Saccharomyces cerevisiae S288C: one gene and its partners. The protein of the gene in region 4 interacts with the protein of the main gene of each other region in a biochemical or structural test. Each region holds a gene or a part of one and is shown on either strand. Other genes may lie near its edges. The genes, in order: CLC1, YHB1, YML045W-A and IKS1.

Evidence for each region.
Region 1: the proteins of IKS1 (region 4) and CLC1 form a complex in vitro, tested with the Saccharomyces cerevisiae proteins (one large-scale study listed by BioGRID).
Region 2: the proteins of IKS1 (region 4) and YHB1 form a complex in vitro, tested with the Saccharomyces cerevisiae proteins (one large-scale study listed by BioGRID).
Region 3: the proteins of IKS1 (region 4) and YML045W-A form a complex in vitro, tested with the Saccharomyces cerevisiae proteins (one large-scale study listed by BioGRID).

Annotation. Positions count from the first base shown.
Region 1 is NC_001139.9:830,918-835,678, reverse strand, and holds CLC1 (clathrin light chain CLC1), read right to left. Parts: upstream 3,224-4,761; coding exon 2,522-3,223; downstream 1-2,521. Other genes in the region: pseudouridine synthase PUS6, read left to right, coding at 1-990; PEX35 (Pex35p), read left to right, coding at 1,197-2,327; TRS65 (Trs65p), read right to left, coding at 3,482-4,761. UniProt on the Saccharomyces cerevisiae protein: Clathrin is the major protein of the polyhedral coat of coated pits and vesicles. In yeast, it is involved in the retention of proteins in an intracellular membrane compartment, presumably the trans-Golgi. The yeast light chain is important for cell growth.
Region 2 is NC_001139.9:956,163-961,603, forward strand, and holds YHB1 (flavohemoglobin), read left to right. Parts: upstream 1-3,741; coding exon 3,742-4,941; downstream 4,942-5,441. Other genes in the region: PHO81 (Pho81p), read right to left, coding at 1-2,048; MIC26 (Mic26p), read right to left, coding at 5,198-5,441. UniProt on the Saccharomyces cerevisiae protein: Is involved in NO detoxification in an aerobic process, termed nitric oxide dioxygenase (NOD) reaction that utilizes O(2) and NAD(P)H to convert NO to nitrate, which protects the fungus from various noxious nitrogen compounds.
Region 3 is NC_001145.3:181,499-187,301, forward strand, and holds YML045W-A (gag protein), read left to right. Parts: upstream 1-2,962; coding exon 2,963-4,285; downstream 4,286-5,803. Other genes in the region: PRP39 (Prp39p), read left to right, coding at 1-1,865.
Region 4 is NC_001142.9:326,563-333,069, forward strand, and holds IKS1 (protein kinase IKS1), read right to left. Parts: upstream 3,560-6,507; coding exon 1,556-3,559; downstream 1-1,555. Other genes in the region: BIT61 (Bit61p), read right to left, coding at 1-1,311; ZAP1 (Zap1p), read right to left, coding at 3,869-6,507.

The DNA of each region.
Region 1 (4,761 bases), on a different chromosome or scaffold from region 4:
CATCTCATGACTACCATAATCAAGAATCATGATGTTTTAGAAACAACTACGCATAAGCACGAACCGCCGGTAAAACAATGGTGTAGCCAGGAAGTTGAAGCGGAGGATTTACCTGGCAGAATAGCGGGATTCAATATTGTTTTTGAAGATGAGAGTATCCTCGTCATTGATAAACCCAGTGGTATACCAGTGCATCCAACCGGTCAGTTTTACCAGAACACAATTACTGAATTACTGAAGTTACATGGTGTAGATGCTCTTCCTTGTTATCGGTTAGACAAGATCACATCAGGCTTGTTGATATTGGCCAAGAACAGTCAGAGTGCGGGGGAAATCCAGAAGAGTATTCGTTCAAGAGATATGATTAAGATCTACTTGGCAAGGGTCAAGGGAAGATTTCCTCACTCCGAATTGATATTGGACAATGAAAATGCGGCGGAAACGACTTTTGAGGACACTTCCAAAGTTACAGTGGAAATGACACCCATATATTCTATCGATCCAAAGAGACAGTTTCCAGTTGGTTTATCGACATCGAAGGATGCTATTACCAAGTTCTACCCAATAAGATACTTCTCTCATGCTGATGAAACTGTCGTCGCTTGTAAGCCAATAACTGGAAGAACACACCAAATTCGAATCCATTTAGCTAGGCTCGGTCATCCCATCGTCAACGATAGTGTTTATTGTTCGCATATTACAAAATACCCCGAAAGGCTTAAGTTTATAACTCAGTTTCCTAGATGGGAGAATCAGCAGGATTTAGATGCTGAGGAATTGAAAGTGAGGTTTCAAAAATTTGTCGATGAGACAAAAAATAATTGTCGGACAATGGAAACATTTTGTCCTGAATGTCATACTGTTGATTTAAAGGATCCTGTGCTATCAGACCTAGAATTATGGTTGCATGCTTGGAAGTATGAGGAGATTAATGGCAAATTCAAGTTCAAAACAGATTTACCAAAATGGGCACAATTGGACAATAGTTAAACTTTTTTTTGAGCGAACTTTTTTTGTATATAGTTTAGTTACCATTTCCGTACTTTGGATGTAAATTAAAATTAAAGAGAGACATTATTTTTAGTTGCGAATACATAACAGCGAATGTTCATGGGGAAAAGTTAAAAACCCTATATAAAGCACCACGAAATACACATCGCGAACAGAGCTAATGAGAGTATACACTTGCTAACTATATGAAACACAATCGTCCAAATGGTACTGGGAAAGCAGTTTCTGGCTTCAAGCAGATAATAAGAAGGCTTCTACTCCTCTTGAACAAGAAGAGAAGAAAACAACTCGTCATCATCTTGAAAAGAATAACCCAAGTCTATGGAATAAACCTAGTATTTTATGTCAAAAAATGGAAATTGAAAAAATTACAGGGTGAAAATATTCAAATAAATGATATCATGCCATGGCTAAGAGAGTCTACTATATTAGTCTTGCTGAACATACTATATCCAACTTTGATGAAGTTCCCATTTTTAAAAAATCATTATATTCACTGGTCTTCCATTGTAGGAATATCGTTAATGCTTACCAAGGGTGAGGTACCTTCGTGGATTATCGCACACTTTCTTGTGGAAGCTATAGCCTCCAAATTAAAGATCGCAAAATTAACACAATGGTTGAAAAAAAAAAATTTTTCCCAGGGTACATTAATAAAATTCCAGCAAATTCTTGTGTGTTTAGCGATTATTGTATTATTTGCCAAACTGGACAGGAGTTCGTTACCATTCCGTGTGCTTTTTGACCATAGGCCATTTTTAATAGATTTCTTCACAATCAATGCCATTTTCACAGTTTTGGCAGTATATCACAGAACATTAAAATTCTTTTTTACTTCAGGGACGAAATCAAATAAGAATGTCGGCGGCCACGAAGTCAGGAACTTTTCTCAATACCTTGGGGTCAAGAACCATAATGATTGGCCCATATCTTCATCAAATTTGAAGCATGTAATGGACAGACTAAATGAAATACATGAAGTTACAATTGATGATAATTATGCAAATATAAACGAAAAGATAATAAATTCATATTTCACCAAGGGTTTTTTTCCAAGTCTAAAATGGACTATATTAAGGCAGTGTATCGAATATTTATTCGTCACGAAAAGGCGCAGATTAATGGGCAACAAATTGCGGTGCATCGTGATGCTTCTTACATTCACCTTCGTGGATCCAACAAGTAAAATGAAAATCAGCCCATTTTTCGCAAAATTCTTTGCGAAGTCCTTGGTTAATGTTTACTTGAAAAAGTATTGGCATTGCAACTTTGGGAAATATATACTATTCTTTTTGTTTCAGCTTAGTATTATGTGATGTGTTTTTTTAGAAGAGAAGAGTTTACAAGTTTGTAAATAATCTATATTATAGTTGTCTTGATAAATGAATTTACAGTATGAATTAGTTATTTACTGAACCTATCAAGTATGATACTCATGTATGACGGGAATGATAGGGAATAAGCCCCTTCTCTTCCTTAGTTCATTATGGTTCTTATTATTCATCATCATTTAAGCACCGGGAGCCTTCGCGTTACCTTTCAATCTCAAAAGAATTTCTTTAAGCTTAGACCTGTCTCTACCCCCAATGATATCGGCATCATCTTGGTTAATTAATTGAAGTGCACGATCCCAGGTCGTATTGTCTTGACCAAAAAATTCATCTCTTTTCTTTAAGAAAGCCTCAGCTTCCTTAGCAGCATCTTCCAATTGTTGTTCCTTCTTTTTATTGTAAGAATCGTAAAAATCGTCAATATGTTTGATAGCTTCATCCTGCAATTCCTTTTTTAACTCCTCGTCCTTTAAATCCTTTTCGTGAATCTCTACAGCACGACGTTGTTTCCATTGGTCTACAACTTCAGAACGATCCTCTTTAACGGATTCTGTACTCTGATTGGCACCTTCGAATGTGGAAAAATCATCATCTGCCTCGCCATTGTCATTACCACTAGATACAGTAGCACTACCATTTTGATCGCTCGAGACTGCGCCATTTGCGGAGTTGATATCTGGAAATTGCTCTTCAAAATCCCTAATTTCGTCATCATCTTTGGCGGGGGAAGCCTCCGTTTCCAATATGTCATCCTGTTCAGTCTTGAACTCGTCTCCAAGTATCTCTGCTTCTCTTTTTAAAAAATCGGTGTCGTCATCTTTTTTGTCGTTGGGTGTGAAATCAATGTTTTGATCTTCCAAAGGAGGGAATTTCTCTGACATTATATATATATGTATCTAGTGAAACGGCGGCGTCCTTCAACTGCTCTTTTGGGTGACTCGCAACGCCTAAGTAAAGCTGTAAAACCCTTTTTCTAGCACGTATATTTTCAGTTTAGTTGTTTAATCTTCTAGGTGCCCCTTTCAGTGTAAAAAAATATGGAAGTGTTTCTATCGTGTAATGTGATGATAATAACTTTTTTATAGAAATGTTACAGATTAGTATGTAGTCTATGTTAATAAAATGTATACTTGTTCCGCTTACTGGATTAACACAGATGCGCCATTTCCAACTTCTATAAGTTCATTTGTATTTAAATCCAATACCTTAAGTCCGGAGAGAGTGCCATAATATCCGGACATAATACCAATAAATCGTAAATCCGCGAAGTATGTTTCTCTCGGAGGTACAACTGGAATTTTGTAATCGTTGGATAATAGTATAATCCCCTCCGCAATTTTTCTATATTTATTATGCAGTTGGTACTGATTTTCCAGTGTCAAGGGCGAATTGGGGATAGTCCCATTATTCATGCCACAGTTGTTTATACCATTGCTGTTACGTACGTTATTAGCTGAAGGGATTGGGTTTATTGTATTGTTATAATACACAACAAGATCCAGGGGGGATGATGACGAGTTAATGATCTGAAGCCTCATAGTAAACTTTTCGCCCTTAATAACTTTTATATTGCTATTAATAAACTTGAATTTTACATTGCTTAATTTGCTATTCACCAATGATGTAGTCGAAGCAGCTCCAAGACTAAATCTTGAGGAGGAAACCCCACCTAATCTTAGATTGGCCAAACCACCAGAATTAACGTTGTTGGCCGCACCATTAAAAGAAGCGCTATGATTGGTATTATTGTTGTTACTCGAGTATTGAGAAGATGTCGAGGAAATTGGCATAGAACGCTTCAATGTGACTTCTGTTTCCCATGATGTTCTCACAGGTAACTTCAGATTGGGATGCAGCTCGAGTTCGTACGCTAAGGTGATTTTCACACGATGTGGTTGAGTTGATTTGGGTAACAGAACCAGTTTAAAAGTAGCGCTAATGCTATCGTATGAAAATGCAGTGAGTGGCACTTTCAAAGGACAGATTGGATCTAGTTCAATTTGAGAGGTTCCGTCGATTAGTTTATACGATATTTCTTGAAAGTTCAGTTTGAGAAAAGAATTGTGTTCTTGCGGATAAATAAATTTTTTGGTCAGTTGTTCGGATGCTTTAGAAGTTTGAAAGTCTAACGATGATAATATGCAATGCTCAGATTTCAAGGAGATGTTTCTCAATCTCATATTCAAAAGTGAGAATATTGGGTATTGGAGCTTAAGAGTAAATGTATTCGGATTTCTAGAAACGTCCGCTTCGTGGACTTCGCTATTTTTAGAACTAACTCGATGAGTCGCCCTGTTATTTTTCTCCAGATGATTATTAGTATTTTTGGATGATTTGGTGGCTGCAGAAGACCAGGAATAAACTGGCTCAAAACTTGGCAAAATCTCCTCGCTAGAGTACTTATCTAATGTATACTTTG
Region 2 (5,441 bases), on a different chromosome or scaffold from region 4:
TCTAAATCAAATTTGTCATCATTTGGGGTTAAATCTATTGTATTAAGGCGTTGCGTACTAGACTGCGAATTTATTTCATTCAGGGGTGCAGATGGCAAATTTAATGGTCTTTGTAAAAGTGCATTCAAAACATCAACGTGGCTCTCCCATAAGGCGTAAAAAAGTGGCGAATGGCCGTTGTCATCTTCAATATCCAGACGTGCATTATGTTTCAATAGTTCAGTAATAACTTCAGAATGACCTGAACGAACAGCGTAAAAAATGGGCGTCCATTTATTAAACCCATCAATTTCGTTGGGATCCGCCCCATAACGTATCAATAGTTGAATTAATTGTGGATCGCCGCCAATTTTTGCCACTATATGAAGAGTGCATAAACCTGTTGAGTTCTTTTTGAAAAGCGGTTGACACAAGTGTTGTGAACTTTTGTTCTTGGCATTATCAGCATTTTGCTTACTCCGAATTTCTAAAAGTAACTTGGCGGCGTCATGATTATTAAATTTACAAGCAACATTTAAAGGATCGAACTGGACTTTAGTAGAGCTGATTACATTCTTACTATAATCCAGAATTGGCTTTTCAATGGGTGATGCGTTCGCACCACCAATAGTCAGCAGATCCCTAACAACATCTATGTGGTTGTTAGTGATAGCCAAAACCAAGGGTGTCTTAGAATCACTATCAATGGGATCAACGTCCTCTAAAAGATTGGTGATTAGCAACGAGTGAACAAATTCCAGTTTTCCTAGCTCTGCAGCATAATGTAGCGGCACCCGCGAATGTATATCTTGGGCATTCAGTAGTTTTTGTACTGTTTCTTTAGATAACTTTGATGTTGTTAAAGCCTCATCTAGAATAAATAAGCGTGATTTTTCTGGACAACTTGCAGCCTCGTGAAATACGTTTTTTCGTGAAAATACTTGATCATCTTCGTCACAATATGACAGATCAATATGATCCTGATTGCTTTTATAGAAAATATGCAGAGAGTTATCGTCCAAAGGACTAGCCACCAGTAATAAAAACAGCGTCGTTAAGCACTCCTTCAACAAAGAAAAGACATTTTTATGAAAAGATTCTGAGGAATTTTGTAGCAGATATGTGAATATCTTGGTTTCTCTGAAGTTTCTTAGTAGTGCATGCTTTCTTTGAACATCTTTCACCGTGGCTATATTCAAAATTTCCTTATACCAGTTTTCGATTTCCATCTCCATGTCCAAGGAGGAGGAAGATGCTTGAAAAAGATGTTCAAGTTGGTTTTCCGAAATCTTTGATGTTGTTAATTCATAATTATTGTGTAATATGTTATTATTATTGTTGTTGTTGTTGTTGTTATTATTATTGTTATTATTATTATTGTGTTTATTATTGTTGCTGGTATTATTGTCGTCATCATCGTCATTAGTAAACGTACTGGATTGTATGTCTGCCCTTCTATTGTTGTTGTCAATATCATTCAGCTCTAAGAGAATATGTAAAGTTTCATCGTTTAATTTTAGTGGCCCATCTCTGGTAAAAATTGGTTGAATGGAAACAACAGTAGCAAGGTAAAAATCTTTATCGTGAGATTGAGATCTCTTGTCCCATTTCTTCAGAGCTTTTGAAAATCCCGTTTTATTTAACTCAACATACTGCTCCAAATTTCTAAGATCCTTTTGAAACTTTTTGAAAGCCGCATATAAGTTTTTAAATGAGGTAGCTTGGTTTGAGTTTAGCTTACCATTTATCTTATAATCTTTATATTTTGAGTGTAATATATTGAATTTTATTCTTAAATCGGACTCTCTCGCCAAATAATAACCATTTACTTTTTCCAGCTCCCTCTCTAGTTTAAAAAAAAAGGCAGCTTTATTTTCTTGCAGTCTCTGATGTATAATTTTTTCGTCGATGTCATCTAATGTTAAATGCAAATCTAAATCTGAACTAGCCTTTAGCGTGGGAATGGCCAATTGTTTGATAAGTTTCTTTAGAGCCTTATAATCAATAAAATGGCTGTTGTACTCCGCCAGTTCCAACTGCCTGGCTTCCAAATACTTGCCGAATTTCATTGCACGTTTATCTATCTATGTTGCCTCCAAAGGGTTATTCTCTCAAAAAGCTCAATCACTGTGGAACCGAAAAATAATGTTATGAAGATTTTTTGAGCAGTATGTCTTGTCAAAAGCTCAACTAGTGCAGCTGATGTTGCTTAAAAAAATAAAAACCAAATTTTTCTACTTTGCTCTTGTACGTTGCACAAAGAAGATTATGTAACAAACTTGAAGGGACTCTCAAAAACTTGCTATAAATTGTACAAAAGCCTCAATATCACCTAGTAGTGGTTCTATACCTGTCTCGAGCCATCGCCAAATAGTTGATAAATTTGATTAATTTCTGCCCTTATTCGCACGTGCCATAACACCTGTACCTCTCACGCTAAAGACCTTTATAATCAAGGAAACTTGTTGCTGCAGAGGAAATAGGAGGTAATGAATTGTGATAAGGCACATCACATCAATTTTTCTTGCATTCTTGCATAGAAAGATAGGCTGATGCAATTAGCGCGTTTCAATCGCGTGCCAAAGACGTATATACTAAGCAATATAACCGAATTGATTAAGTAGTTGGTTAATTGTATATTTTGTGATAAAGATGGTTAACTGACTTAGGCGGACATAATAGTAGAAAATCTATATAATTTTTCCCATGCAGTTGTTATTACAAAATGCAATTCTTGAGATAGCACAAGCAAGAATAATAGGGCACGGTACGTTCATTCACGTAGCGTTAGCTAGTGCTGCCACAAGGTAAACGTACGATTATATTCATTTTTGAAACGGAAGTTCTTTGTAACCCTCATGCTCGTTTGATAGTCACTTAACTACAAGATATTCTCGTTCAGTGATTGCTTGCTTATAAATCAGGAAACTTCATTTTTATTCCTTACATTTTCGAAAAGCCCGCAAGGTTTTCTTCGCCACGCTCAAGCATTCATCGTTGAAAAGCAAAACTGTGCACACTGTACCTTAGGCGACTCTTCTCCGAACAAGCTCATGGCTCATTTTTAAAATCACAAGCTTCGTATAATTGCCAAGACATAATCTAATTGAGAAGGTCAGACGGCAAAACAAATGACCGAAATCTTCGTTTATTGGTTCGCCTGCGTTGCCAACTGGTACATTTTCCCAGAGTACCAGCAAAGGAAGGCATCCTTGATGCCTACTCTGATACTGTGGAGGATTTAAACTGAAAATGATAGTCTGCGCGGCAAATCTTTCTATTTCTACTAAAGTTGGATCCTCCGGCCGATATAACGTATTCTTTTTATCCAATAATGTCAATTTTAAATGCTCGATTACTAATCGTTACTAAAATAGCGGACGCGCTTATGCGTCTTCGACGGATAGTTTTCAGATCATCCCTCTCAGAAAGCAATGCAGGAACCGCCTGTAAAACTATCTTTTGCTGGCACTCACACATTATGGTATTGATGCCACCTGAAAATACGGAAATTAACCATTCCTTGTACGGAGATCTAAGAGCAACTATTATTGAATTGTTGCCGTTAAAGTTTCATTTCAGTTCCGTGTGTGGTCAAGTACAAGACTACTGATGAAATATGTTGTACACACACGGAAATATATATATATATATATATATAACAATATTGTGGGTTGAGGTGGAGACTTGATTTTTCTTATACAGTATATTCTTGTTCATTTTTTACCATTTTCAACAAACCACACAAAGACTTTATTCATTATGCTAGCCGAAAAAACCCGTTCCATAATCAAAGCAACCGTTCCTGTTTTGGAACAGCAGGGCACTGTCATCACGCGTACATTCTACAAAAATATGCTTACTGAACACACCGAATTACTTAATATTTTTAACAGAACTAATCAAAAGGTTGGCGCACAACCAAATGCCTTGGCCACTACTGTTTTGGCAGCGGCTAAGAACATTGACGATTTGTCTGTGCTTATGGACCATGTCAAGCAAATTGGCCACAAGCATCGTGCCTTGCAAATTAAACCTGAGCATTATCCAATCGTTGGTGAGTACTTGTTAAAAGCAATCAAGGAAGTTTTAGGCGATGCTGCGACTCCAGAGATAATTAATGCATGGGGCGAGGCTTACCAAGCAATTGCTGACATCTTCATCACTGTTGAAAAAAAAATGTACGAAGAAGCTTTATGGCCAGGTTGGAAACCATTTGACATTACTGCCAAAGAGTACGTTGCTTCAGATATTGTTGAATTTACTGTTAAGCCAAAGTTCGGTTCTGGTATTGAATTGGAAAGCTTGCCAATCACTCCAGGTCAGTATATTACGGTAAACACTCACCCAATTAGACAGGAAAACCAATACGACGCTTTAAGACACTACTCTCTTTGTTCTGCTTCAACTAAAAATGGTTTACGATTTGCAGTAAAGATGGAAGCTGCCAGAGAAAATTTTCCTGCAGGATTAGTCTCTGAATATTTACACAAGGACGCTAAAGTTGGTGATGAAATTAAGCTTAGTGCTCCGGCTGGTGATTTCGCAATAAATAAAGAGTTGATACACCAAAACGAAGTTCCATTGGTGTTACTATCGTCTGGTGTTGGTGTTACACCACTTTTAGCTATGTTAGAAGAACAAGTCAAATGCAACCCAAATAGGCCAATTTACTGGATTCAATCTTCCTATGATGAAAAGACTCAAGCATTCAAAAAACATGTAGATGAACTATTAGCTGAATGTGCGAATGTCGACAAAATAATTGTTCATACTGATACTGAACCACTGATTAATGCTGCATTCTTGAAGGAAAAGTCACCTGCGCATGCCGATGTCTACACTTGCGGCTCTTTAGCTTTTATGCAAGCTATGATTGGTCATCTAAAAGAACTAGAGCATCGTGATGATATGATTCACTATGAACCATTTGGTCCAAAGATGTCAACCGTGCAAGTTTAGGCGTTAAGCCTCGGAAACTTCAATTTTATTACTGATTCATTTGATAATTTCACTTGTTCGATTTCACAGTTTGAGAAGTTATATTACGAAATAAGAAAAATTTTTAAAACATGAGACCATTGCTAATCTTTTGTTGTTATACTGTGTTAGAAATCCTCGTGAAATCCTTGTGAAATCCTATGTGGAATATTTAGATAGTAAGTAAAGATTGTGTATGTATTTATAAGATGAATAAGCGCCAGGTGCTAAACAGAGTTCACTTCACGTTAACGCCAGTCCAATTTTTGATTGCATTCCCTGTTTTTTCTACATCTTTGTTCAACCATTTTTTGGCATCATAGTAGTATTGCACAGACGCGGTACTTAATCTCTTTGTTTCTTTCCAAACACGATCTTGTCTTTCGGTAAAGTGTGGAAAGGTGTTCATTTCTAGATTATGGATGAGACCCATGGTGTTCCTGAAGGTTGTTGGCATTGCATACGCAAAACAACAAGACCCC
Region 3 (5,803 bases), on a different chromosome or scaffold from region 4:
TAGAAGATATTGAGCCTAGGCCTGATGCCCTTCGAGGTTTGGACACCCAGTTCCTTCAAGACAACACAGCATTAGTACAAGCATATCGTGGTTTAGACTGGTCAGATATTTCTTCGTTGACCCAAATGGTAGATGTTATAGAGCAAACAGTGGTTAAATATGGCAATCCAAATGATTCAATCAAATTGGCCTTGGAAACTATTTTATGGCAAATATTGCGTAAGTACCCTTTATTGTTTGGATTTTGGAAGAGGTTTGCTACTATTGAGTACCAGTTATTTGGTCTCAAGAAATCGATTGCTGTTCTGGCCACCTCGGTCAAATGGTTCCCAACTTCTCTGGAGTTATGGTGTGATTATTTGAATGTGTTGTGTGTTAATAACCCGAACGAAACGGATTTTATTAGGAATAATTTTGAAATTGCAAAGGATCTTATTGGCAAGCAGTTTCTATCACACCCTTTTTGGGACAAGTTTATAGAATTTGAAGTTGGGCAGAAGAATTGGCATAACGTTCAAAGAATATACGAGTACATTATTGAAGTTCCTCTACATCAGTATGCGCGGTTTTTCACATCTTACAAGAAGTTTTTAAATGAAAAAAATTTGAAGACAACAAGGAATATTGATATAGTTTTACGAAAAACACAAACAACAGTAAATGAAATTTGGCAGTTCGAATCGAAAATCAAACAGCCCTTCTTCAACCTGGGCCAAGTGTTAAATGATGATTTGGAAAATTGGTCGCGATATTTAAAATTTGTGACGGATCCTTCAAAATCCTTGGATAAAGAATTCGTAATGTCCGTTTTTGACAGATGTTTGATTCCTTGTCTTTACCATGAAAATACGTGGATGATGTATATTAAGTGGCTAACAAAGAAAAATATATCCGATGAAGTGGTAGTGGATATATACCAAAAAGCCAATACGTTCTTACCACTGGATTTCAAAACTTTGAGGTATGATTTTCTTAGGTTTTTGAAAAGAAAATATCGGTCAAATAATACCTTATTCAATAACATATTCAATGAGACAGTATCGCGTTATTTAAAGATTTGGCCCAACGACATATTACTTATGACGGAGTACCTTTGTATGTTGAAAAGACATTCTTTTAAGAATTCCTTAGATCAATCGCCAAAGGAAATTCTAGAGAAACAAACATCGTTTACTAAAATCCTAGAGACATCAATCACCAACTACATCAATAATCAAATTGATGCCAAGGTGCATTTACAGACCTTAATAAATGATAAAAACTTAAGCATAGTCGTGGTAGAATTGATAAAAACTACATGGCTTGTACTTAAAAATAATATGCAAACAAGGAAATATTTCAACCTTTATCAAAAAAACATCCTCATTAAAAATTCTGTACCGTTCTGGTTAACTTACTACAAATTTGAAAAGAGTAATGTAAATTTTACCAAGCTGAATAAATTCATTAGGGAGCTTGGGGTAGAAATATACTTGCCGACTACAGTAATGAATGATATTTTGACGGATTATAAGACTTTCTATTTAACTCATTCAAATATCGTCACGTATGAATCCTCCATTATAGATTCAAATACATTTGACCCTATCTTGTACCCTGAGCTGAAAATGTCGAATCCAAAATACGATCCAGTATTAAATACTACAGCAAATGTAGATTGGCATAAAAAGACGGAATGGAAGGAGGCTGGTCACATCGGCATAACGACAGAAAGACCGCAGATATCCAACAGTATAATTGAGTGCAATTCAGGAACTTTGATTCAAAAGCCCATCAGTTTGCCTAATTTTAGAAACTTGGAGAAAATTAATCAGGTCAAGATTAATGATCTATACACTGAAGAATTTCTTAAGGAAGGTAAATGAAATTAATCATAAATCATAAATTATATTTAAAATAATAATTTACTCGGCCGGACCCCGAAGGAGTACCCAAATATTTACTTGTTTATAATTTATTATTGAAAATGTTTTATTCTATATTGGTAGAGTTAATAAATAATTATATAATAAATTATTGTATGATAATATAAATAATAGTTTATGTAATATTTTAAGTTATTATTTATAATAAAAAAGTAACTATTGAACCTGTTAAATTAAAATATATTCAAAAAACATTAGAGGTTGGTAAGATTCTATTAAATCGCAGAAATCAAATAATATGAAGAGTAAAACAGGTAGATGAAATAAATTTATTATTAATTTAGTTTACGTAAATCGAAATGACAGGCCTTTTCTGTGTTTTTTGATGGTTATATAATCAGAAAAATTTGATAAATATTGTTTATATGTAAAGACTATTAATGATTGTTTCTATCGTCAGGATATTTTGAAAACGTCCAAATATGTAAAACAACTTCTAAACATTAAATATTTTTGGTGAATTAAAAAAAAATATGCGCAAGCCCGGAATCGAACCGGGGGCCCAACGATGGCAACGTTGGATTTTACCACTAAACCACTTGCGCGATCTTTATTGGTATTTGTTGGAACATAGAGTTAACTAACCATATATAACAACTTCTTAAATGCACAGTACAGTCTATTCAAAACTGTAGCTATGCGCTGCATCTTGTGGCAAACTCGAATGGAATTGTGGGTTTGCTAGGTCTCTGTCCATCTGTAAACAATATTTCCCGGGAACGGGCAACAAAGGTAATGTTTATATGTGTTGGAATAAAAATCCACTATCGTCTATCAACTAATAGTTATATTATCAATATATTATCATATACGGTGTTAAGATGATGACATAAGTTATGAGAAGCTGTCATCGAGGTTAGAGGAAGCTGAAGTGCAAGGATTGATAATGTAATAGGATAATGAAACATATAAAACGGAATGAGGAATAATCGTAATATTAGTATGTAGAAATATAGATTCCATTTTGAGGATTCCTATATCCTCGAGGAGAACTTCTAGTATATTCTGTATACCTAATATTATAGCCTTTATCAACAATGGAATCCCAACAATTATCTAATTACCCAAATATATCTCATGGTAGCGCCTGTGCTTCGGTTACTTCTAAGGAAGTCCACACAAATCAAGATCCGTTAGACGTTTCAGCTTCCAAAATTCAAGAATATGATAAGGCTTCCACTAAGGCTAACTCTCAACAGACAACAACACCTGCTTCATCAGCTGTTCCAGAGAACCTCCATCATGCCTCTCCTCAACCTGCTTCAGTACCACCTCCACAGAATGGGCCGTACCCACAGCAGTGCATGATGACCCAAAACCAAGCCAATCCATCTGGTTGGTCATTTTACGGACACCCATCTATGATTCCGTATACACCTTATCAAATGTCGCCTATGTACTTTCCACCTGGGCCACAATCACAGTTTCCGCAGTATCCATCATCAGTTGGAACGCCTCTGAGCACTCCATCACCTGAGTCAGGTAATACATTTACTGATTCATCCTCAGCGGACTCTGATATGACATCCACTAAAAAATATGTCAGACCACCACCAATGTTAACCTCACCTAATGACTTTCCAAATTGGGTTAAAACATACATCAAATTTTTACAAAACTCGAATCTCGGTGGTATTATTCCGACAGTAAACGGAAAACCCGTACGTCAGATCACTGATGATGAACTCACCTTCTTGTATAACACTTTTCAAATATTTGCTCCCTCTCAATTCCTACCTACCTGGGTCAAAGACATCCTATCCGTTGATTATACGGATATCATGAAAATTCTTTCCAAAAGTATTGAAAAAATGCAATCTGATACCCAAGAGGCAAACGACATTGTGACCCTGGCAAATTTGCAATATAATGGCAGTACACCTGCAGATGCATTTGAAACAAAAGTCACAAACATTATCGACAGACTGAACAATAATGGCATTCATATCAATAACAAGGTCGCATGCCAATTAATTATGAGAGGTCTATCTGGCGAATATAAATTTTTACGCTACACACGTCATCGACATCTAAATATGACAGTCGCTGAACTGTTCTTAGATATCCATGCTATTTATGAAGAACAACAGGGATCGAGAAACAGCAAACCTAATTACAGGAGAAATCCGAGTGATGAGAAGAATGATTCTCGCAGCTATACGAATACAACCAAACCCAAAGTTATAGCTCGGAATCCTCAAAAAACAAATAATTCGAAATCGAAAACAGCCAGGGCTCACAATGTATCCACATCTAATAACTCTCCCAGCACGGACAACGATTCCATCAGTAAATCAACTACTGAACCGATTCAATTGAACAATAAGCACGACCTTCATCTTAGGCCAGAAACTTACTGAATCTACAGTAAATCATACTAATCATTCTGATGATGAACTCCCTGGACACCTCCTTCTCGATTCAGGAGCATCACGAACCCTTATAAGATCTGCTCATCACATACACTCAGCATCATCTAATCCTGACATAAACGTAGTTGATGCTCAAAAAAGAAATATACCAATTAACGCTATTGGTGACCTACAATTTCACTTCCAGGACAACACCAAAACATCAATAAAGGTATTGCACACTCCTAACATAGCCTATGACTTACTCAGTTTGAATGAATTGGCTGCAGTAGATATCACAGCATGCTTTACCAAAAACGTCTTAGAACGGTCTGACGGCACTGTACTTGCACCTATCGTAAAATATGGAGACTTTTACTGGGTATCTAAAAAGTACTTGCTTCCATCAAATATCTCCGTACCCACCATCAATAATGTCCATACAAGTGAAAGTACACGCAAATATCCTTATCCTTTCATTCATCGAATGCTTGCACATGCCAATGCACAGACAATTCGATACTCACTTAAAAATAACACCATCACGTATTTTAACGAATCAGATGTCGACTGGTCTAGTGCTATTGACTATCAATGTCCTGATTGTTTAATCGGCAAAAGCACCAAACACAGACATATCAAAGGTTCACGACTAAAATACCAAAATTCATACGAACCCTTTCAATACCTACATACTGACATATTTGGTCCAGTTCACAACCTACCAAAAAGTGCACCATCCTATTTCATCTCATTTACTGATGAGACAACAAAATTCCGTTGGGTTTATCCATTACACGACCGTCGCGAGGACTCTATCCTCGATGTTTTTACTACGATACTAGCTTTTATTAAGAACCAGTTTCAGGCCAGTGTCTTGGTTATACAAATGGACCGTGGTTCTGAGTATACTAACAGAACTCTCCATAAATTCCTTGAAAAAAATGGTATAACTCCATGCTATACAACCACAGCGGATTCCCGAGCACATGGAGTCGCTGAACGGCTCAACCGTACCTTATTAGATGACTGCCGTACTCAACTGCAATGTAGTGGTTTACCGAACCATTTATGGTTCTCTGCAATCGAATTTTCTACTATTGTGAGAAATTCACTAGCTTCACCTAAAAGCAAAAAATCTGCAAGACAACATGCTGGCTTGGCAGGACTTGATATCAGTACTTTGTTACCTTTCGGTCAACCTGTTATCGTCAATGATCACAACCCTAACTCCAAAATACATCCTCGTGGCATCCCAGGCTACGCTCTACATCCGTCTCGAAACTCTTATGGATATATCATCTATCTTCCATCCTTAAAGAAGACAGTAGATACAACTAACTATGTTATTCTTCAGGGCAAGGAATCCAGATTAGATCAATTCAATTACGACGCACTCACTTTCGATGAAGACTTAAACCGTTTAACTGCTTCATATCAATCGTTCATTGCGTCAAATGAGATCCAACAATCCGATGATCTTAACATAGAATCTGACCATGACTTCCAATCTGACATCGAACTACA
Region 4 (6,507 bases):
TTCTCTGATACTCTGATCCAACGGTAATAACACAGCGGCTAAATCATAATATACCTCTTGATAAAATATCCGCCATATAACGCCTAATCTTTTCAATGCGTTATTTATTGTGTCTTCATTAGAATAGTTAAAAACAATTTGGTTTTCTAAATTGTATAGGGAACTAACCAAAAATTCTTTCAAATCGCTGATAATTCTATTCATGCCGCTATGTGTGACTCTTGGATCTGTTTTTAAAATGCAATAGAATTCTAAAACTTCGTTAAAATTTTCTATTTTGGCCCTGAGTTTCCATATTCTTTGAGTTCTGAATAATTCTGCTACGTTACTACAAAATATATTCCAAATATTATTTGTTAGGGTTGTCAGTTCTTGGGAGTTGAAGTGTTTATAGTTAGCTTCCAGAGATGGTAAATTTCTTAAAAGGTCGTGTAACATTGAGACCGGATTCGGTGAGGCAGGATCAGTTCCAGAAAGCGGATCCTCAACGATTGTGTTGGGATTGACACCAGATGGATTAACATTCAATGAGTACACAGAAGTTCCTGAGTCCACAAGTTGCCCCGCATTAGTATGAATAAATTGTGACGGAGATTTATGTCTTCCGTAAGAGGAATGCAGAAATTTACTCAAGGAATTTGGAATTGCAGGCTCGATAGCATCTTGACCAATGTGCCTGTGGCTTTTATTTTGGAAAAAGTTCTTAATCACGTTTCGAAATGAATGTGAACTATTATGTAAGGTGCTTGAATCTGTCAAAAAGGAGGCAGGATCCGATGAAATGGTCGTATGTGCTCTGTTTCTCCTATTAAAAAAGCCAGAAGCCTTTCCTTTCATATACCTGCCGGAGGGCGTGGAGTGTAAACTTTTCTGAGTAATGGATATTGCATCAGAAGATAACTTTTTAGATAGATTGTTCGAGCACTCCACCGTGTCAACGCTATGAGATTCCCCTATCTGAGAAGAACCAGATTTAGATGTTGCAGCTGAGGCATTGTCATTGCTCCTCAAGGAATGATTTGAGGCCACACTGACCTTCGATCGAGGATGATCTACTGTATGGAATATGGATTGGAAGCCAACGTTAGAAACACTAGGGCTAATGGGGTTCCTCGAGCCCTTCAAATTCTTGATGGAATAAACGTCATCATTTGATGTGTCTACAAGAGTTTGCCGGCTAATCTCGCTTGTAGTCTGAAAATTTTTTACTGGGGCTGTGGCTAATTGCACATTAAGGTATTGTTCGCTATTGACAGGGCGTTGTGTCGTAGTAGATGTTCTTTCTCGAAGGAGTATATCTTCTGCTGTCATAATGAAAGAACTTTATTTCTACAGAGGTCAATTGGCGTTTCTGTCACCTAGATCTTTTCATTTGGTTATTCCCTCTATAAATTTACTCATCGGTCAATTTTTCTAACATTATGCACCTTTGTCACCGGCCCTTAGAAGAGGTGAAGATGATTCGTGAACATTGGTGATAAGCGAGAATATTTTCTATAAATTTGTAAAGTAAAAATAAATTACGTGCTATTTAGTTTGCAATGTGTACTTATTGTTAGTATATGTATTTTTTGCATGCGGCGATGAAGGCCAGTAAAACCAACGCTCTTGCATGCTTACCTCTTTCATCAGCTGGTGATTTAAAAACCATTCCCAACAATATCAGTGACATATAAGAGAGCCACGACCCCGTTTTGGTACACTTAAATATGATTATCGTTAATATCATAGAAACTAGTTTGTAACAAACCTGGATTGTTCTATTTAAAGCAGAATACTTTTGGAGGTTTTGGGTTGATACGGTGCTCAAATTTTCCTCTGGTGCTGGTAATGATAAAGTAACGTTGTCTCCGTCAATATAATCATCAGTAAAACTGTTGGTATTCTCATTCACTTCCGAGATTGTACTGAAGTTCAAAGTGCTATCCACATTTTCTTTCCAGAATTTTTTGCCGGGTTTGGAATTTATTAGCATTTCATCTAACGTCTCCTCCACTGTCTTCGCTGTGGGTCTAGCATCATTATTTGGTTGTAAAAGAGCGTCCATTAGGTGAAATATTCTACGGTCTATTGGTTTCAATTTCATCGCTTGATGCTTTTCAATCATACCTTCAGTGTCGAACCTAAAATTTTTGATGCGTACCTTCAAATCAACTATATCCAACTGTGGTTCAAAGGGCAATTCACCGAAGACAATAAAATAGCAAATCATTCCTAGAGAATACATATCGGAAGCAAAGGTGTATTCATTGTATGTGTGACTCGATCTTGAAGGCAACGTAGAAGAAGAAACTGGTCTCCCCTGGATAATAAGGTCTGGTGCTGTAAACTCTAATGTTCCTGTGCAACCAGTACCCAATCTGGACTCTCCTTCCAACTGACTTTCCCCCAAATCGCCAATAACAATTGATGGGAAAAACTCATCTGAATTGTGTTCCCTGTCGTATACGTTGTCATTCTCATTGTCACTTTTAAATGGAGTCAATAATAAACAGTTGGATGGTTTCAAGTCCCTATGTATTAGGCCAATACTGTGCAGTTCGTGTAAACCTCTTGCAATATCCCTTATAATGGATACGAGCTGTTCCGTAGATAGGCCAACTTCTCCTGATTTACCGTGATTTTTCTTGCGAGTTCTAAATTTTTTTTTCCTCTCTTCAGGTGATTCGGTATCTGAGAACCTATTGAACACTTTTCTTAGAATACAGTCTTCTAAATTGCCGCCACTGCAATACTGTTGTAAAATGAAAATACAAGGAACTTCTTCTTGTGAATCCGATTGGCTCCCATCAATGGATCTGACAAATCCAACCGAAGAATCCATTTCGAGCCACACATGATTATACGTAATCAAATTGGCACTTTTGTGAGTTAGCGAACTCAACGCTTTCACTTCCCGTATGCACTTATTAAACCATTCCATATCATTTCCAATAGGTATTTTTTTTAGTGCAAAAACACCTAATTCAGTATTACCAATTGTGTGTACAACTTTGTAAACAGAACCTCTTGCACCATTTCCCAGCAAAGACAATATTTTGAAAAATTTACGAAAGTATCCGGGGATAAACAAATCATCTGGAATAAAGTATTTGTTTTTGCTGAACTGTCCCTGCTTATTGTTACTATCGTTTTGTAGGGCGTAGTGCCGATGATTTCTTTCCAATGACTGAAAATATCTTCTTGAAAAGCTTGAATTGGCAAATTCAAATCCAAGTGGCACAGTGTTCTCTGGAATACTGAGCCTACTGCTTTCTGATTCTACTCCAGCAGAGGCTCGACGATGAAGTTGTCTTCTGTTTATAATATCAGGGTTAATTTCCGTACCACATTGCGGGCACACATAGGAAGCAATAGGGCTTTTGTATTGATGAATCCCTGAAGGAAAGTCCAGTGCTGATAAAGATGCAGTCTGGTCTTCATTTAGTTCAGAGTCATTATTACTGTTGTCCTGTTGGAAAAATGATAAAGTTCCTGAGGTTGGATTAACAACCACCACTGATTTAGAATTAGGATCATCTAAAATCAGCGAACCTTCTTCATATGGTACTAAACTCATTTCTAAGTTCTACTTATGCTATCCCTCAAACTATATATCTAATAGTGTTTCTTCGGTTACCTAGTTGTCACTCATAGGATCTATATATACAATGTCCTTCCCCCCCACCCCCTTTTCTGAAACGTATACAAAAAATAAAGCTTGAAATACGTTATTACGTAAAAAAAGTGTACTGTAAAAGCTTACAAAAAAGAGTTTGCGAAAAATTATAAATAAAAAGTAGTCTAGGTAAAATATGAAATGTTTCTAATTATGCATTTATGTGATCCTGAAAACCGCCCTTCTTACGTTGGACCATGATGATCACATTTATAAATATGGTTTTCTTTCCAATGCGCATTTCACTTTCTGTGAGTTCAATTTTCCCAAATCGTCAAAGCTTTTGGAACAGTCAGAGCACTTGTATTTTTTCTGATGGGTCTTAATATGTTTGCTCAAATTTGACGATTCGTTGAATCTCTTACCACAAATCTTGCATTGTAAAGGTTTTTCACCAGTATGGGTTCTTATATGAATCTTCAAAGAACTTGAAATCGCGAATTTTTTATTACAAATGTGACATTTGTAAGGTTTTTCGCCAGAGTGTGTCCTGGTATGCTGAACTAAAGTTTCTTCGCTTGAAAAACACCTTTTACATGTCTTGCACTTATAAGGTTTGTATTTCGAATGCACTTTTAAATGACGGATTAATTTTTGTCTTTGGGGGAACGTACGATGGCAGTCATGCCACAAGCATTGGTATTCAGACTTACCCCGGGTTAAATGTACTGCTTCTAAATGGTCGTTTAATTCCTGAGCACTGGAAAATGACTTATTGCAACCATCCCATTGGCAAATCACCTGTTCCGGCTGCTTGATTGGCGGTATATTGGAAACATCATTTGCAGACGTCATATCAGGTGCTCCATCTGCTTTAGAAACTTCGTGTGTTTGTGGGTTGGGGCAATGTAGTAAGTGATGTTTTTCCTTTGATATACTACCAGGCAAAAATGAGTCTGGGTTGGCAAATTGAATATCAAAATTGATACCATGTTGACAATTAATATGGTTCACTATGGAACATGTATCATCTCCAAGGAAATCACAGTCCTCCCAATTACAAGCTAATGGTTCCATAGGGTGTTTGAAATCTTGAGAGACATGATCCTTCAAAAGATGTCTTTGTAGGTCAAATAGTGAGCTACAAGACTCAGGACATTCTTTCCATTTGCATTTTAAGTCATTGTTTTTCTCTTCTTTAAAACACCAGTTGAAATTTATAGTGCTTGTTGTCTGTATAGGAGGAGAGATGCTAGAAGGTAATGAGTCTTCCAAAGAGCTGAAATCAGTAGATTCTAGATCTTTTGTAGGCCAAGATCTACGATTTTTCTGATTCTGATGAGTGACTTTGGGTAGCGAAGGGGGCTCACTTTGATTTCTAAATCTTTCATAACTATACTCTCTTGAAATTAAGTCATTTAAATCGTTGTTAGTTAGATCGGCTGTTGTGTTCGCCGCGCTAATCCCTGAATTGTTCACAATATTGTTTCTATTTGGTTTGTGAGAATGAAACTGTATTCTATGGTGATGGTGTTGATGATCAGTTGAAGTTGCTCCAGCCGTATTGTTATTGCTTCCATTAAGATTATTTTTAGGGTTGCATCTATTAATGCTTGATAATAGAAGATTCATTGTTTGGTTACCGTTTTCATTATTTCCTGTGCTCGAACCATCGCAGCCGTTACCGGCATTATTGTGGTCGTGGTGGTTAATGTGTTTTCCAAACGGTACTTCATACAAAGAAGAAATATTGCATAAATCTTCCAAAATCTTCAAATCCATATCAGTATTTAAGATATGTTCGTGATAAGCATGATTTGTACCTTGCAAAGTGTTTGTAGGTTTTCGTAAAGATGAACATTTGGGTGGTAGTTGAGGTGGCTTTGACTCTAAATGCATATGCTTAGAACAAGGTTGATTATCAGTGCTCTCCTCACAAAATTTGCAGTATTTATGGAAAACGTCATCATTATTTGATGATTGATGATCTTGAACAAACTTGTGACCACTAGTCGCGCTCGTGCTAGCCGTGCATGGGGTGTCACAGGTCAAATCGCAATCAATCTCCGATAAGTGAGACATCAGCTGAGAAAAGCTATCTGGTACAGTATTATTGTGATTGTGAGAGTCGTGATTGGTACTATTACAGTACTGATCATGAAGGTTAAAATTTGGCATCAAGTGATCGTTCTTTACATCTGTGAATATTGCAACATCATTGCCGTTCTCAGATATGTCTTTCTTTGTCGGTTGATCAGATTCACCTTGTTTTATATTAGCCTCACTTTTGGGATGAGTTTCGTCACAACATATTTCCAAAATCTTGGGCGTACAATAACAATCATCGGATCCAGGTGGTGGGTTCGGTTTATTTTTCTTGGAAGAGGGCAGCAGTATCAGATCGTCGTTAAACCAAGAATCTTTTCTACGTGGTAGGTCGCTTTTAGAATTCTGTTGGGGACTTGTCGGATCAGAAGCTACCGAATGGAAATTGTTTGCAAAAGAATGATTATTAGAATTATACGTTGCAGTATCATTATATTTTGTTAATGACGGATTATTGTGATAATTCAAGAACTCGAAATGTTGGCAGTCGGTGTACTCCTTGCATTTCTCATTGACGTGGCAATCACCACCCATATCATGGCTAGCTCCAGATGCAAATGCGGAAGTAGCGGCATCAGCAACAGCTGCGGCTGCAGGTGTTGCCGAAGCACTACTGTCGTTCACAGGCGCGCTGTGGTGAAGGTGACCATGGATATAGGTCAGGTTGTTGTAGTTATGGATGTGCCCGTGGACAATGCCTTCTTTACCTATCGTCAGAGCATCAGGCTTGGCAGAAGCAGCAGTGGCCGCACTCGTGGCCATCGAGTCATCGCGCTTGGGGGAGTCCCTGGGAGTCAACGCAT